Linked DNA regions of Ovis aries. The protein of the gene in region 1 binds, or shares a complex with, the protein of each later gene. Links are inferred from orthologs where the notes say so. Each region holds a gene or a part of one and is shown on either strand. Other genes may lie near its edges.

Region 1 (3,570 bases):
CACTCCACTTTGGTGGATTTAATAAAAGTAACACATAACAAATGTCTGATATATGAAACAGGTCTTTTAAAAAAAGCCACAATGTTGGCTGTTCAAACTGTGCTCCCAGGTGGTCCAAACTCATGGACGTGCTGTAGAATATTTCAAACATTTTGGGAAAACACAGGCAAACTACTGGCTTTGTATAGTTCACAAATACACATCACATTATATTTCTCTTGGTGACACAATGTCTTTATGAAGCCAGGGTTTTAGCAATTCCGGTCATTATAAAGCCCCAGGACCACATGAAAATCAATGTGAAACAAGAGTGCAGGTGGTTCTCCAGAATCAGATTCCAAGGTTTGAGAAGCCATGTGATGCCCAGCAGGCGCCATCTCATTAGGAGATAACCACAGTGACTAACAATGAAATGAAAATATTTCTTTCAGTTTCACTGCTTAAAACTCTAAACTTTTCTTTAGCCTAGGACACTATGAAAAATATCACTGAGATGCAAAGGGCAATGTTAACAAAGAATTGGGGAATGTCTGCCAGTGGCAAAAACAGTAACAGAGACCTTGAGGGCTGGATTCTGATTCTACCAATTACCCAGCTCAAGAGTCTACAGAACGTTATTCACTCTGCTTTAATTTTCTTCAGTGGCAAAACAGGGACAATACCACCACTATGAATATGTGACAGGACTGTTGTAACGACTTTTAGAGGCTGAACATGAAACTCCTATGAAACTGCATCATGACACATTCAACCTGAAGGAAACAACTGATAAACATTCACCAAGAGAAAAACCAAATGGTTAGAGTTCAAGAATTATTTGAAAAACAGGCTCCTACCTTTCTGAAATTTCCTCTAATAACTCCATAAGTTTAGCAGCCAAACCAAGGCGCCGAAACTCCGGGGCAACAGACAGAGCTGTGACATGCCCGTGCCATTCTTCCCTCGCCACTGAGCCTTCTGCTTTGCCCATGACTGCCAATGAAAGACCGCATCCAGTAACTAAACATGGCAACTCACACACAGAGAAATACTGTGTGGTGCACTTTTATCATAAAGGAAATGACCAAGCTCTGATTTTTAAGTAACACTTAAAGCCGAGGTCCCCACCCTCTGGGGACCTGATGATCTGAGGTGAAGCTGATGTAATAATAATAGAAATAAAGTGCACAATAAATGTAATGTGCCTGAATTGTCCAAAAACCGTCGTCACCCCCACCAGAAAATTGATCTTCCATGCAACCGGTCCCTGATGCCAAAAAGTTTGGGGACGGCTGCTTAAAGCCATCTAGCTAATTATTATTAGTGCTCTTACTTGATATGTATTTAAACAACCTACATTTTGTGTGGGTATCTATGTATGTATACACAATAGACAATCCACAGCTCAAACTTGAGCCAGTAACATGACCACTTCTGTTTGGGCCACTGCTCTATCCCCTGAGCCTAGCACAGTACCTAAGACAGAGATATCAGTAAACTGTCAAAGAGTTGAAAAGAAAATTACAGGCATCATGATTTCCAGTTCTGTGATAAGTCTAAGAGTTAAAAACTAATTTTATCTTAACTGCTAACCCAGAAAAGTACTAGTAGTGTTATACTTACTATAACCCATTAACTCGCCTCCAGGGGCCTCTGCGACGATGAAGTATTCTGGCCAGTGGGCAAGGTACTGTAGGTAAAAAGGAATCCCATACTAGAGACTCGTTAAGGAGGATGCAAAGTAAGGGCAGTCAGAGTTCTTCACAAAACGTTTTGAAGTTTCCTTTAAAAAGCATATTGTTCCTTTATCCCTAGCCTTATGTATGATTTCTGCAATCAATTCATTACATGAAATGTTTAGGTTAGCACTAAGTTTTAAGAAAACTGCCTGAATATGTAACCTCAGATGTGAATGGAGACATACCATCCAAGAGTGGAGAACCAGGACCCCCAAGTTCTACAGCCTGTCTCCCCGCTGCTCACACTATGTCTAGATCCCCCTCCCTGCACAGCACTTCCCCATCACCTGGCATTCCTGTCTCCTGTCCCCTTACAGTGAGAGTGTCACCTGCCCTCTCCCCCTGGTGCTGGAGACACAGTGCAACCTCAGTATGTTTATTTCTCCCTTTCTGCACTAGAAAGGGTGACGAGTGCCTTCAGGAGCTTCAGGCACGGGACAGTGAAAATAACTGTAGTTTACTTCCAAAGGCTACGTAACAAACTCAGTTTGTCCAGTCCACTGATTCAAATTCTGCATTTCTAGTAATGCCCAAAATAAAAACCTGATGTTAAAATGAATGCCTGAGTACTTTGCTCATTACTTAGCTCTTCAGCTCTGCTGTCTTGCTGAGTTGTACTCATTTCTATACTTCTCAGTATTAACTTAGGAGAAGGCAATGGCACCCCACTTCAGTACTCTTGCCTGGAAAATCCCATGGACGGAGGAGTCTGGTGGGCTACAGTCCATGGGGTCGTGAAGAGTTGGACACGACTGAGCGATTTCACTTTCCCTTTTCACTTTCATGCATTAGAGAAGGAAATGGCGACCCACTCCAGTGTTCTTGCCTGGAGAATCCCAGGGACGGGGGAGCTGCTGTCTGTGGGGTCACACAGTCGGACACGACTGAAGCGACTTAGCTTCAGACATCAAACCACAAGAGAATAAAAAAGGAAGGTAAGAAAATACCTACAAAAACAAACCCAAAACAAGAAAATGGCAGAAAGAATGTGTCAATAATTACCTTAAATGTAAATGGATTAAATGCTCAAAAGACACAGACTTGCTGAATGGATATAAAACAAGACCCATATATATGCTGTCTCCAAGAGACCCACTTGCAATCTAGGGACACACACAGACTAAAAGTGAAGGGACAGAAAAAGGTATTACATGCAAATAAAAAATCAAAAGAAAGCTAGAGTAGCAATACTCATATCAGATAAAATGGACTTTAAAGACTGTTACAAGAGACGTAATGATCAAGGGATCAATCCAAAAAGACGTATACATGCACCCAACACAGGAGCACCTCACTATATCCCGCAAATGATAACAGAGAAAGAGAAATCAACAACACAGTGATTGTGGGTGACTTTAACAAGCCACTTTCATCAATGGACAGAGACAAAACCAATGAGGAAACACAGGCCTGAAATGACACATTACACCAGATGGAAAAACAAAACCTCAAAATTAGTAGAAGGAAAGAAATCATAAAGATCAGAGAAGAAATAAATGAAAAGATCAATGAAACTAAAAGCTAATTATTTGAAATAATAAAACAGATAAACCTTTAGCCCAAACTCATCAAGAAAAAAGAAAGCTCAAATAAATTAGAAATGAAAAAGAAGTTACAACTGACACCACAGAAATACAAAGGATCATAAAAACTACAAAACAACTGTATGCTAATAAAATGGACAGATTCTTAGATATGGTCTTCCAAGATTGAAGAAATTGAAAATATGAACAAACCAATCACAAGTACTTAAATTGAAACAGTGATTTAAAAACATCCAACAAACAAAAATCCAGGACCAAATGCTTCACAGGTGACTTCTAACAAACATCTAAAGAAGAGTTGACACCTA
Region 2 (3,570 bases), on another chromosome or scaffold:
CGGGAAGGGAAGGGAAGAAATAAAATAAACAATATGCATAAAAATAATTAAGCCAGTTATTATTTCTAAAGGTGATAAATGCTTTGGTCAAAAATTTAAAAAGAGTAGAAAAATTAGGAACACCAGAGGTAAGGAGAATGGTTCTAATTTTAAATAGGTCAGGGTAGGCTTCACTGAGAAGGTGTTATTTAGCAAAGACCTGAGGAGATAAGGGAGTGAGTCAGGGTTACTTACACTGGAGAAGAGCTTTCTAGACAGTGGGAAGAGTCAAGGCAAGGGTACACTATATGGATTTAAAGAATAGCCAGGAAGCCTTTGTGGCAGGGAAAAAACAAAAATCATTCTGCTGCTAATGATGCGACCGGCAAGGACTTAATATCTAAGATACACAAACAGTTCATACAACTCAACGATAATAAGAAAGCAAACAACTCAATCAAAAAAATGAGAATACCATAATAGACATTTCTCCAAAGAAGACATACAGATAGCTAGAAGGCACATGAAAAGATGTTCAGCATTGCTAATTATTAGAGAAATCCAAATCAAAACTGCAATGAGGTACCACTTCACATCTGTCAGAATGGTCTTTGTTAAAATGTCTATCAATAATAAATGCTGGAGAGGGTGTAGAGAAAAGGGAACTCTCCTACACTGTTGGTGGCAATATAAGTTGGGGAAGCCACTATGGAAAACACGATGATGGTTCCTCAGATAACTAAAAATAGATTTACCATATGATCCAGCAATCCCAGTCCTGGGCATATACCCAGACGAAACTATAATTCAAAAGAACCCATATACCCCTATGTTTGTAGCAGCACTATTCACAATAGCCAAAACTTGAAAACAACCTAAACGTCCATTGATTGATGAACAGATTAAGAAGGCATGACATATATACAGTGGAATTCTACTCAGCCATAAAAAAGAACAAAATCATGCCATCTGAAGCAACACAGATGCAACCAGAGATTATCGTACTAAGCGAAGTCAGAAAGAGTAAAATAAATACCATATGACACCACTTATATGTGAAATCTGAAGTAGGATGCAAATGAACCTCTCTGCAAAACAGAAGTAGACTCGCAGACATAGGATCAGACTTGTGGTGGCCAAGATGGAGAGGAGAGGGGAGGATGGACTGGGAGTTGGAAGCTGGTAGATGCAAGTCATCACATTTAGAATGGACAACAATAAGGTCCTACTGTGGCACAGGGAACTATATCCAATCACCTGGAATAAACCATAATGGGAAAAATATAAAAAAGAATATATATACGACCATAACCGAGTCACTTTGTTGTACAGCAGAGATTGGCACAACATTATAAATCAACTATACTTCAATTAAAAAAAAAAAAGAATCTGCTTATGGTGATGAATTTTGTAAAATGTTCATCTTCCAGTTGATACCTCATTTTCTGTTGCTTATTTGTTTAAAATGAAAGTCCTAACTCTTGGATAATTTTCCTAGAGTCTCATATTTGTCAAGAAAGGAAAAGTAAGAATTCTGAGAATTTTAAAATCACCCCAAAACCATGATCATTGTTCAAGCCCCTCCGTTTCCACAAACATATATTTGGCAGTGAATTGTTATATAATAAGCAAATATGCCATTTAATAAGAGATGATGTCACTATAAAGAAATTAAGTAAAAGATTTTCATTTTGAACATTTAGAGACTGGGCACAAAGCCTTTGCTATACTCCAACAAAGAAAAATTCCAAGATTCACAGCCAACATAAAAGCACCCATTCTTTCTGAAATGTCACGGCTCTTTTAAACATTTGTTACACTGTTCATTTCATTAACTTTTTTTTTCCAGGAAATAAAACAATCACATTTATTGTGCGATTTTCACAGTATTTATCTGGGTGAGTTTCTCCAAAAAGAATACATATAAAGGGAGTACTTTTTTTTAATGAGGGAAGCTCAGTCAGCTCTCCCGCAAGTAAGCATCTTATTCTTGCCTCTGTGCCTTGCTGAAAATGCAATGGTGATCCACAAGCTTAGAAATGGAACAAGATGTACACAGTCCTACCTTGCCCAGATGATCCTTTTTGCCAAAGCCAGTGGCAGCTGCAATGCTCCCTGCTCCTTCTACTGTCTTCTGTGCCACTGCAGTCACCCCTGTCACCACTGCCTCTCCAACGTTTGTCACTTGCTCTTTGGTCTTCTCAGCCACTGGGATGAATCAAAAATAATGACAGATTAAGGGATGGTGGACCAACAGCCACTAGGAATAATTTCACTTCCACTAACCATCAACTTCCAAAGACCTATATTCACACACGTAGATAACTGGTGAGTCAGGAGAAGAAAAAGTTACTGGGATTGCTAAGTGAGCGTGGCTTAGCCAAACACAGATTCTTTGCCAAGACAGTCTATGCAATCATGCAGATATTTAAAGGTGTTTCAAGCCTAATGATCACAAATTTAGGGCTATAAGCAATTTCACTCTGGTTTACATTTTATGAAAGAAAGTTTACAGAAAGCAAGGCTTGCAGGTGTAGTTGTATCAAACTCTGCATGAAATATTTCTTTATTTCAATTTCAATGCCAAGTCTTTGATCTCACTCAGCATGTTTTTTTCATCACACCTTCTGAGTCACAGAATCATACACGCTCTCACATGGTACCATCAGAAATAAAACAGAGGGAGGGATGACTATGCTGATCCTTTTATGAAGCATCAGGTAGTTGAAACAGAATGAGTTTTAGTGTTAAGATTTATTTTCAGTCATTTTAATGGGAACAAAAGAGCTGGACTTAAAGTATGAAATGAAATTGTTTGTTGAGCACACTTAATTTCTTTTCATTAAAAATAAGATATGGAGATTCGGTAGGCTTTTAAAAATGAGTTAAATTTTAAGATGATGGTATAAATAGTTTGGGATTAGATTTAGAAAGAGATTCGATCTCATGTCAAAAATTATCCAAGACTATATATAACTGTTGAATTAATCTTTCTATATTAACTCCAGACAAATATCAAATAAACAAAGCTGCAATAAAAAAAGTCTGTTTCAATTAAGAGTTTTATGAAAAAGCAGTTAAAGATGAGATTCTACACTTTTAACAATTTCAAGGTCAAGGGAAACAAGACAACTCTCCACCCAAACCTTTTTCCAGTAGTCATGTATGGATGTGAGAGCTGGACTATAAAGAATTCATGTTTTTGAACTATGGTATTGGAGAAGACTCTTGAGAGTCCCTTGGACAGCAAGGAGATCAAACCAGTCAATCCTGAAGGAAATCAGTCATGAATATTCATTGGAAGGACTGATGCTGAAGGTCCAATAATTTGGCTATCTGATGCAAACAACTGACTCATTGGAAAAGACCCGGATGCTGGGAAAAGATCAAACGCATGAGAAGGGGATAACAGAGGATGAGACGGTTGGATGGCATCACCAACTCAGTGGACATGAGTTTGAGCAAGGTCCGGGAGTTGGTGATGGACAGGGAAACCTGGCATACTGAAGTCCGTGGGGTCGCAAAGAATCAGACACAACTGAACAACTAAACTGAACTAAAACCTTATAACACTTACACTCATAAAGCCTG

What was found. Proteins that work in one complex are often made in the same cells at the same time.
Region 2: the proteins of NAA20 (region 1) and SNCA are in contact, whole or in part, in a cryo-EM structure (PDB 7STX), measured with the Homo sapiens proteins. The link is inferred for Ovis aries from reciprocal best matches to the Homo sapiens genes NAA20 and SNCA. Residues at the interface, in NP_057184.1 of Homo sapiens: Leu23, Thr24, Glu25, Tyr27, His73, Val74, Thr75, Ala76, Leu77, Ser78, Leu110, Phe111, Tyr137, Tyr138, Ser139, Ala140; in NP_000336.1 of Homo sapiens: Met1, Asp2, Val3, Phe4.

What each region holds. Positions count from the first base shown.
Region 1 is NC_056066.1:39,155,365-39,158,934, reverse strand, and holds part of NAA20 (N-alpha-acetyltransferase 20), read right to left. Parts: intron 1,694-3,570; coding exon 1,603-1,693; intron 1,180-1,602; exon of another isoform or gene 973-1,179; coding exon 837-972; exon of another isoform or gene 1-836. UniProt on the Homo sapiens protein: Catalytic subunit of the NatB complex which catalyzes acetylation of the N-terminal methionine residues of peptides beginning with Met-Asp, Met-Glu, Met-Asn and Met-Gln. Proteins with cell cycle functions are overrepresented in the pool of NatB substrates.
Region 2 is NC_056059.1:35,550,276-35,553,845, reverse strand, and holds part of SNCA (alpha-synuclein), read right to left. Parts: intron 2,188-3,570; coding exon 2,045-2,187; intron 1-2,044. UniProt on the Homo sapiens protein: Neuronal protein that plays several roles in synaptic activity such as regulation of synaptic vesicle trafficking and subsequent neurotransmitter release.